Linked DNA regions of Coturnix japonica. The protein of the gene in region 2 binds, or shares a complex with, the protein of the main gene of each other region. Links are inferred from orthologs where the notes say so. Each region holds a gene or a part of one and is shown on either strand. Other genes may lie near its edges. The genes, in order: DPM3, DPM2 and PIGC.

The links.
Region 1: DPM2 (region 2) and DPM3 share a complex: the UniProt entries of both Homo sapiens proteins name them as parts of the dolichol-phosphate mannose (DPM) synthase complex. The link is inferred for Coturnix japonica from reciprocal best matches to the Homo sapiens genes DPM2 and DPM3.
Region 3: DPM2 (region 2) and PIGC share a complex: the UniProt entries of both Homo sapiens proteins name them as parts of the glycosylphosphatidylinositol-N-acetylglucosaminyltransferase (GPI-GnT) complex. The link is inferred for Coturnix japonica from reciprocal best matches to the Homo sapiens genes DPM2 and PIGC.

The regions. Positions count from the first base shown.
Region 1 is NW_015439963.1:35,725-38,672, reverse strand, and holds DPM3 (dolichol-phosphate mannosyltransferase subunit 3), read right to left. Parts: upstream 2,049-2,948; 5' UTR 1,796-2,048; intron 949-1,795; 5' UTR 943-948; coding exon 655-942; 3' UTR 636-654; downstream 1-635. UniProt on the Homo sapiens protein: Stabilizer subunit of the dolichol-phosphate mannose (DPM) synthase complex; tethers catalytic subunit DPM1 to the endoplasmic reticulum.
Region 2 is NC_029532.1:3,618,129-3,621,874, forward strand, and holds DPM2 (dolichol phosphate-mannose biosynthesis regulatory protein), read left to right. Parts: upstream 1-1,335; 5' UTR 1,336-1,433; coding exon 1,434-1,436; intron 1,437-1,538; coding exon 1,539-1,628; intron 1,629-2,261; coding exon 2,262-2,364; intron 2,365-2,628; coding exon 2,629-2,687; 3' UTR 2,688-3,328; downstream 3,329-3,746. UniProt on the Homo sapiens protein: Regulates the biosynthesis of dolichol phosphate-mannose. Regulatory subunit of the dolichol-phosphate mannose (DPM) synthase complex; essential for the ER localization and stable expression of DPM1.
Region 3 is NC_029523.1:7,059,389-7,062,546, reverse strand, and holds PIGC (phosphatidylinositol N-acetylglucosaminyltransferase subunit C), read left to right. Parts: upstream 1-925; 5' UTR 926-1,253; intron 1,254-1,545; 5' UTR 1,546-1,622; coding exon 1,623-2,516; 3' UTR 2,517-2,618; downstream 2,619-3,158. UniProt on the Homo sapiens protein: Part of the glycosylphosphatidylinositol-N-acetylglucosaminyltransferase (GPI-GnT) complex that catalyzes the transfer of N-acetylglucosamine from UDP-N-acetylglucosamine to phosphatidylinositol and participates in the first step of GPI biosynthesis.

The DNA.
Region 1 (2,948 bases), on a different chromosome or scaffold from region 2:
GCCCTACAGAGGGAACCTCACAATGGGAACCCCACATTGAGAACCCTATAGAGGGAACCCCACAATAGGAGCCTCACAATGGGAACCCCACAATGAGGACCCTATAGAGGGAACCCCACAATAGGAACCTCACAAGGGGAACCCCACAATGAGGACCCTATAAGGGGACCCCACAATGGGAACTCCATAATGGGAACCTCACAAGGGGAACCCTATAGAGGGAACCTCACAATGGGAACCCTACAGGGAGAACCCCATAGTGGGAAGCCCACAATGGGAACCCCACATTGAGAACCCTATAGAGGGAACCCCATATTGAGAACCCTATAGAGGGAACCCCACAATGTGGGCCCCACAATGGTAACCCCATAATGGGAACCTCACAATGGGAATCCTACAGAGAGAACCCCGTAGTGGGAAGCCCACAATGGGAACCTCACAATGGGGACCCTATAGAGGGAACCCTATAGAGGGAACCCCACAACGGGAGCCCTACAGAGGGAACCTCACAATGGGAACCCCTCAATGAGAACCCTATAGAGAGAAACCCACAAAGGGAACCTTATAGAGGGGACCCCAGAGCAGCCGTGACCCACATCCCCCCCTCCCCCTTTATGCCCCCCATCAGGACACGCTCAGCCCCATCCTGGCCCTTTATTGCGGGTTGAGGTCCATCCCCCGTAGCCGCAGGTCGGCCCTGGCCATGGCGATGTGACCCCTCAGCTCGGCCGCCGCCTCCGGGCAGTCATTGAACGTGGCCACACGGAAACCAACGGCGGCCAACGAGAAACAACCTGAGACGACCAGCAGGTAAATGGGGAGAGGGAGCAGGACCTGCCGGACCGGCACCGGGAGCTGCGGGCTGAACGGGGCCAGAACCAGAGCGACCCAACAGGAGCCCAACAGGGCCAGGACGAGCAGCCACTGAGCCAGCTTGGTCATGGCGGCCTGCGGGGAGATGGGGACGGGGTCAGGAGGTGGTTGTGGTGGGAGAGAGCGGCTCTGGGCAATGCTGGGCCAGGCCCAGGCCCCACTAGGCCCAATAGGCTCCACTAGGCCCCACTAGGCCCCGCTAGGCTCCACTAGGCCCCACCAGGCGGCTCCACTAGGCCCCACCAGGCTCCACTAGGCCCCACTAGGCCCCGCTAGGCTCCACTAGGCCCCACCAGGCTCCACTAGGCCCCACCAGGCCCCACTAGGCCTCACTAGACCCCACTAGGCTCCACCAGGCCCCGCTAGGCCCCACTAGGCCCCACCAGGCCCCACCAGACCCCACCAGGCTCCACCAGACCCCACCAGGCCCCACTAGACCCCACCAGGCCCCACTAGGCCCCACCAGGCCCCAGGTCCAGCCTGGCCCTACCAGGCCCCACGCCCAAGCTCAAGCCCAGGCCCAAACCCAGCCAGGCCCCATGTCCAGCCAGGCTTCAACTCAGGGCCAGGCTCAGATCCCTCCAGGCCCTACCAGGCCCCAGGTCCAGGGTCAGCCAGGCCCCACCAGGCCCCACCAGGCCCCACGCCCAAGCTCAAGCCCAGGCCCAAACCCCACCAGGCCCTAAGTCCGGCCAGGCCTCAACTCAGGGCCAGGCTCAGACCCCACCAGGCCCCAGCTCCACCAGACCCCACCGGGCCCCACTAGGCCCCAGGTCCAGCCAGGCCCTACCAGGCCCCAAACCCAAGCTCAAACCCAGGCCCCAAGTCCAGCCAGGCCTCAACTCAGGGCCAGGCTCAGACCCCCCCAGGCCCCATACCCCAGCTCAGGCCCAGGCCCAGGCCCCCCCAGGCCCAACCCCACCTTCACTCCTCCAAACGCGGCGCTCTCTCCTGCCGTCGCGTCGTGACGTCACTAGAGCGCGCCGCGCGGGGGACGCTGGGAGTTGCAGTACGGCAGCACAGCTCCACGTGGGTTGACGCATGCGCCTTCCGCTTCCGGTCCGGCAGGAAACACGCCGCTCTTTGTCCTCCGTTTCCGGTCAATCCGGAAGCAGCCGGCTTCCTCCTTTCCGGTGTGTGACAGCCCGGCGTGGGAACAGGCCCGGAGTGTGTTCCCACGGCCTGGAGCCCATAAACCCCAACAGAACCACAACCACGGACCGGGGGGGGCCGCCACGACCCCTACGACCCCCCCCCTTGCGCCTCCATGTCCCCCTTTATTTCCCTTCCCCCCCCCCCCACCCACTTCCTCTCCTATTCCCCCCCCCTCCCCCCCTTATTTCCTTTACCCCCCCTTTACCTCCCCATTTCCCCCTTCCTTCCTTCCCTTGCCCTTCCCGTTCCCCCCTTTACTTCCCTGCTCCCCCTTATTTCCCTCCCCCCTTTTCCCCCCTTCCCCATCTTATTCCCTTTCCCCTCCCATCTTCCGCTTCTTCCCCCCCCTTCCTCCTCTTCGATCGCCCCTCCCCCCTTACTCTCCCTCCCCCCACCCCCTTATTTCCCTTTCCCTCCCCCCCATCCCCCCCCTCTTCCCCCTTCTGTCCCCACCTTACCTTCGCTTTCCTCCCCTTCGTTCCTCCCTTCTTCCCTCCCCTTTCCCCCCTTTACTTGCCTTTTCCCCCCCTTCCCTCCTTCTTCCCCCCCTATTTCCCTAACCCCCCCCATTTTCCTCCCCTTCCCCATCTTATTTCCCTCTTCCCCTCGCCAGTCTTCCCTTCTTCCCCCCCCTTCCTCCTCTTTCTCCCCCCTCCCCCCCACCCCCTTATTTCCCTTTCCCCTTTCCCCCCTTTCCTCTTCCCCCCTTTCTTCCCCTCACCTCCTTTTCTCCCCTTCTTCCTCCCTTCTTCCCTTTCCCTCTTCCCCCGCTTACTTCCCTTTACCCCCCTCTCTCCCCCCCTTCCCCTTTCCCCCCGTCCTTATCCCCCCCTTCTCCCCCCTACTTCCCTACCCCCCCTTCACCCCTTCCTTCCCCCTTGCTTCCTCCCCCCCCCACATTTCCCCCCTTACTTCCCCCC
Region 2 (3,746 bases):
CTGCCTTGCCCTCCCCTCACTGCCTTACCTGGGGGCTGCAAACTCACCCCCCACCCCCCTCAGCCCTTCCCTCACCCCTCCTGTGCTTTAGCTGAATAATACCCTGGTGACTGAGCCCTGTGGACAAGGCTGGTCCCCAGGGGTGAGTTACAGCAAACACTGCCTGGTAGCAAGTGTTTGTGCTGCAAAACCACTTCCTGGATGCATTGGGGGGGGGTCCATGTAGATTTATCCCCCCCTTTTCCTCCCAATGGGCTGATGGGGGATGAGAGGAACATGGGGTAAAGCTTCGAGCTCGAGGTGTGGCTGAGCCTATTCACTTTGCCTCAACCCTAAGGATTAAATGGCAGAGCCCGTATTTTTGTGGTGGGGGGGAGGGAAGGGGAGATCCTGCTTTATTTTCGTGAGGGTTGTTGAGCCGGGTGACGTTTGGAAACTCGATTTATATCAGATTCTATAGAGAGATGGCTGATATTTTTGGAAAGGGAACGGCTCTATGCAAACATCCACCATCGTTAGAAGAGAGCAAAGTAATGGTGGTGGGCTCTGAGTTGGTCGGTTGGTTTTTACTTTGAAATCTTAATAAATCTCTTTAACTTTTTCTTTCCTTTCTTAAAGCAAAAAGGTGTTTAGAAAGAAACGCTGCTCCACTGCTGTGTGTAATGGTGATGGTGGCAGCTCGGGGCTGGCGGGCAGGGCTTGTTTTGCACCATTTCTGTCTGGTTTGGGTCTTGTTTCTTGTCAGGCCGCTGTGCCGTCATCGATCCAACAGGCCGTGTTTGTATCTTCTGTATCTGGTTCCTAACGTAGAGAAATAACAAATATATGAGGAAATCAATATCATGGCAGACGTTGTTTATTGGGTTCGGGGGAAATAAAGGTTGTTTTTTTGGTACTTCACACCGATTTTCCTGGTTTGGTTGTGGTCTTTTTGTGGTTCTAAGTATTTTATGGGGGGGGGTTGCCCTAAATATCAGCTAATTACCCCAGTTGTGAGAGCCCTGCAGCATTTTTTACCCTAAATATCGGCTAATTGCTGCAGGGCTCTCACAAATGGGGTTTTTTTGCCCTAAATATCAGCTAATTGCTGCATAGTTCTCACAAATGGGTGTTTTTTGCCCCAAATATCGGCTAATTGCTGCATGGTTCTCACAATTGGGGTATTTTTGCCCTAAATATCGACTAATTGCTGTAGGCCTCACCACTAGGCCCCGCAGCTCTTCCGAGCACCTCGGGAACTACAATTCCCATCATGCACCGGGTGACTCGTGCTTTCCCACAATGCTTTGCGCTCTTAAGCCCTTCCCACAATACTTTGCGCTCTGAGCGCTCTTCCTGTTTCGGAGAACACGTGGCCAGTGTTCTGCTCGCTGGTTGGTCGATCGCTCCCGGAAGAACGGGGAGGGCGGAAGTGCCGTGTGGTGGCCGTCGCCATGGTGAGTGAGGCTGCGGCCTACGGCCCGTCCCGTCTGTACCCGGCCCTGCCGCCCACACGGAGCCCTGACTGTCTGCAGCCCTGACTCTCTGTCCCTTTACAGGCTACAGCGACGGACCAGGCGGTCGGGTTCGGTTTGGTGGCCTTCAGCCTCGTGCTGTTCGTGTACTACACGCTGTGGATCATCGTGCTGGTGAGGGGATGGCGCTGGGTTTGGGCCCTGGGATGGTCGGGCCTGCAGGCCTCGTTTAGGAGCTGCAGGAGCTGGGTGTGCACTCGGTGCTCCACTCAATGCTCCTCTATGGAGGGAACTGGGCTCAAACCTGCTGCTGCTGGAGGACTTGGGTTCCCCCCCTTGATGTGCTCCCAGCTGTAGGGTCGGGTTCATACAGTGCAGGAGTCATTGCAATGCACTGTAGCATCCAAAGTGTCCCAGCCATGAAAGGATCCATGTGACAGAGGTTGGATGTCAGGGGGAAGTTCTGCACTAGGAGAGTGGTGAGGCCCTGGAACAGGCTGCCCAGGGAGGTTGTGGATGCCCCGTCCTTGGAGGTGTTCAAGGCCAGTTTGGACGGGGCCCTGGGCAACCTGATCTAGTAAAGGCGTATGTTTGGTGGCCCTGTCAGGCAGGGGGTTGGAACTACATGATCCTTGAGGTCCCTTCCAACCCGGGTCATTCTGTGATTCTCCACCACCTGCAGGTTCAGACACTCTTTTTTTAGCCGTCCCCTCCAGCCCCATGTTTCTGTTCTGCTTTTGAAACCCCACAGCTGCACGTGTTGGTGACTTGCTCTCATGTTGTTAATCCCCTGCTCTGTTTCTGCAGCCCTTCATTGACAGTGAGCACAGCATCCACCAATACTTCTTGCCCAGGGAGTACGCCGTTATCATCCCCGTGGTGGCTGGGCTGCTGCTGCTGCTATTTATAGGTGAGTATTATTCTGGTCGCTCTAATTAGAGGCTTCTAAATTAGGAAGAGAAAAGAGACACTTGTGCTGTATGTGGTCCCTGCAGTGGCTTAATTTGGCACAGGCGTTTGTGCGCACACACGTGTAACTTCAGCTGTTTATTCCTATGAGAATTAGAACTGTTTCTTGTGCTCTGCTGAGGTTCCATTATTCGCTGTGTGTGTTTTAATGGTGCTTTTCATTTGAAATTTTCGGGTTGAGTCTGTTCTCTCTCATTCCTGGTAGGTGTTTTTATAATGGTTGTGATGTGGAAGAGCAGAAAACCTGCCCGGAAATCAGACTGAAGGCCCAGCTGAGAGATGGAGAGAAGGCCCCCAGCCTGCAGCACCAAGCAGCCTCCTCCTCCAGAGCACTCAAAGCAGCAGCAGTGCCAAGTGGCTGCTCTTTCTCCCACATTCCTTCCTCAAAAGACACAGACTTGTGTAGTTTACAACTTACAGACTAAAGGGAAGCAAATCTGACCCGTGGGACTCACCAGGAGAGGGACCAGAGCTCCAGCTGGACAAATGTGCACCCCAGCTGAGACTACGTGCAGCAGCTTTGCTGGGCTGGGATCCAGCAGCTCTAATTGCAGAGTGTGAGTTCAGTTCTGGCCCCCAGCAGCTGCTCGGCCTCTGGATACTCTTTCCCCTCTTTGCTGCATACGGTAGTTTATTCCTTCTGGGATTTTCTTTTAAACTGGAAGAGCTAATGATGGTGCTGTGAGCTCTCGTTTCTGATGAGGGCCCTGTGAGCTGCACCCACCTCCCCTCCTACAGTCACCCCACTGAGGATGCAGCATGACCTGGGTGGCAGAGGAAGCATTTAGCTCCCTTACCAATGAATGTCAGCTGCAGTCTGGGCTCCTGCCTGCACTGGGTCAGCCCTGAGCTCCTGGTGGCTATAGTGAGCTGCATTCATCCTCAATAAAGTTCTCTGAGCTCTTTGTTCTTCCATGTCAAGTGCAGAGCTGCAGCTCCAGCCTCATTCCCCAGCCACCCCTCACCCCTGCAGGGAACACAGCCCCCCATTGTACTGAAGGACCTTGATTTCTAGGGCCAGTCCATCACCCTGTCCCAATTGCAGCTGTGCAGAGCTTTATTCCTGGAGAAATACAGGAGGGGGCAGCTCCCGCTGCCTGCCCAGGGCTGCCACAGGGCCCCAGTTGTGCATCCAGCTCCTGGTGTGGGATGAGCACAGGCTGCTATGCTGCAAAGGGCAGCGCCCCTATAAATATCCCTGTTGCTGTGATGGGAGGTGGCTGCTCCAGCTGAAGGTCACGGCTCTGAGCATGAATTCCTTCTCAGCACACAGCGCTGTGCCCCCAGCCCAGGCACATTGTGGGGTCTGCAGCCATGGAATGC
Region 3 (3,158 bases), on a different chromosome or scaffold from region 2:
GTAACCTGGGCAGCTGACTCTTGGCTTCCTCACACCAGGCGCTGCCCAGCTCACAGCTGGCAGGGCACAGCTTTGGCATCATTCTTGGAGGCAATTTCCTAGGGACTGCAAAAGAAAAAAAAAAAATCATAAAGAAAAGCTAATGAAAAAGCAAAAGCTTTCCCACCACCATCACTGCACAGACATCTACAGAACAGGAACCAGTTGTCCCTTGCCCTCAAGCTGACTGAGAATCCCAGCAGTTCCACCTTGTTCTTCTCTCATCATGGCTGCCAGGGGAGTTTGGCAACCCAGGAGCTCTGAATCCTTTGGTATTCAAACACCTCCAGCAGAGGCCTAGATCAGTCACAGCTATTTAAATCCCAGCCTGTCACCTTTTCCAGCATGGCTTCCAAACAGCTTTTAGCAGCATATTGCAGCGCAGGAGCCCTGCAGGAAATAAACACGTCTGCAGTGGGGTCAGTTGTGCAACACACTGGCGAGCAGTGAGCTCTGAGTGGGTCTGAAATGCAGGTGGGGTGGGTGGGGAAGCAGTCAGGTCCCCCAGAGCTGAGGTTATGGCAACAAGTGCTTCACAGTGCTGACTGTGGGGCAGGATGGGTAGCATGGGTAGCAGCACCCAGTGTTTCACTGTATGAGGGCTGGGCCAGTCTGGGGTCCACATCCCACCCCTGCAGCTGGTGAGGGAGATCTTGTTGCATGGGATGAAGACACACACGAAGCAGTTCTCATCCTTGACCTCAGGCACCACTCGGGTGTGACGGACCGTCCCTCTCCCAGCTGCTCTGCTGTCCCTGCCAAGGCCACGTCACCTCGGGTGGGCTGAGGGGTGACTGCACAGCACGTGTTCCCTCGACTGGCAGGGACAGGCGGTGACGTGGCCGGTCCCATAGTCACAGGTCTGCTGTGCAGGTGATTCATTCCCCGCAGAGCCTAGGAGACCTGGAGGGCTGAGCTGCCCTTTAGACCTCGGGCAGAGAGTTGTCCAGCGGGGCACGAATGCACCATGGCAGCAATAGGTGCCGCATCTCCCCATTGCCGAGGCGCTGCGGTCACTCACAGCAGTCCCAGGGGCAGGCGCCCCATCGTGCTGTGATGCAGCTGCAGGCAGCAGTGGGCGGTGAGCCGAGAGGAACGCGAGCAGGAAGCAGCGTCAGTGCACGATGGGTGGCAGGGGGAGCCCATCGCTCCCGGCTCACCCCGAAGAGTTAACTACATGTTGTCGGCTCGGAAGCGACCTTATTCCCCAACAAGTACGAGACCGATTACAGTCACCTGCCCGCACACCGCCACTCCCGGCCCTTCTCCTACCGGCTCCGGCCCCGGAGGCAGCGACACCCGCGGGCAGCGCCGCGCTGTGCGGCCGGGCAGCTCCGCCAGGGGGCGGCTCCGAGAGCCCCGGCGTCCATTGCGCCGCGCCGGGCCCGGCGGAAGCGGCGGGAGCGGGGAGCGGGGCGGCGGGTTGGGAGCGGGGAGGGGGGGGTGCGCCCCGTCCTCGCGGCTGGAGCTCACATCGCGGTTAACCCGCACCTCGCTCTTTCCCAGGGCCCTGAGAGCAGCCCCAGGCTGTGAGCGGAGGAGCGGGGCGCTGTGCCGGCCTCCTCTGGGCCGGCCCTGGGAGGATGGTCTGTGCGCAGGTAGAGACGAGCCCGAGGCGGTGCTGGCAGAAGGTGCTGTACGAGCGGCAGCCCTTCCCCGATAACTACGTGGACCAGCGGTTCCTGGAAGAGCTGCGGAAGAACATCCACGCCCGGCAGTACCAGTACTGGAATGTGGTCTTCGAGTCGGGGGTGGTGGTGCAGCAGCTCTGCAGCGTGTGCGTCTTCGTTGTGACCTGGTGGTACATGGACGCCGGGGTGCTGAGCCCGCAGGGGCTGTTTGGGGCGGCCCTGCTCACTTCTCTGCTTGGCTACATCCTCTTTGATGCCATCGACGCCGGGGTCGGGCGGCAGGAGAGCGGGCGGACGCGGTGGGCAGACCTGAAAAGCACGCTGGTGTTCACTGCCTTCACCTACGGCTTCTCACCGGTGCTGAAGACGCTGACAGAGTCCATCAGCACAGACACCATCTATGCCATGTCAGCCTTCATGCTCCTCGGCCACCTCATATTCTTCAACTACGGTGCCAACGCCGCCATCGTGTCCAGCACGCTGTCCCTCAACATGGCCATCTTTGCCTCGGTGTGCCTGGCCTCCCGCCTGCCTCGCTCCCTCCACACCTTCGTCATGGTCACCTTCGCCATGCAGATCTTCGCCCTCTGGCCCATGCTGCAGAAGAAGCTGAAGGCCCAGACACCGTACTGCTACGTGGGGGTGACGGTGCTGTTCGCACTGCTGGCCCTTGTGGGGCTGGCGAGCGTCTCCAGCGTGGGTGCTGTGCTCTTTGCCTCACTGCTGCTCTCCATCTCCTGCCTCTGCCCTTATTGCCTCATCCGGCTCCAGCTGCTCAAGGACAACATCCACGGGCCGTGGGATGAGGCTGAAATCAAGGAGGACCTGTCCAGGTTCCTCATGTAGGCCTGGCCAGGGGGAAGCAGTGCCCTCTGCTGTGAGGGGCCTCTTTGGGACACAGCTCCAAGGGGACACCTAATCCAATAAAGACTCGCGCTCTAGCAGGGAGTGCATCTGTGTGTGTTGTGACTGCGCTGGGCTGTGGGTGAGCAGGGAGGTGCTGGCAGACCCATGGCAGTATTTTTGTCCAGCCACCGAACCAGAGGCACAAAGCAAAGTCTCTCTGCTTTCCTGTGGTGGCCGCCCAGCCGCAGGGTGCTGCAGCTGTAATGGGAGCCATGCTGGTCCTTCCTGGAACAGTCCAGTGTCTGATTCCATGCACCCCACAACAGAGGGTCCTCTAAGCCAAAAAGTCAAACTGGAGGGCATCTCCAGATGAGCCAGCCCTGCTGTGCTGTTGTTTTCCAGAGGCAAGTGGTTCAGCAGAGCATGAACTTGGCCAAAGTTGCAGCACCCCAGGCTTTTTGGTCTCACCAGAGCCTTCCTGGTGCTGGGCAGGAGGCCGGAATTCAGGGGCACTCACAGACCTGAGTACACTCACACATATCTTGCATGCACAGCCACACTGCCATGTCCATCCGCATACAGCAGCATCTCTGCAGACTGTGGGACCACAGCTGCTCATTCCTGCAGTATTTATCCCTAGCG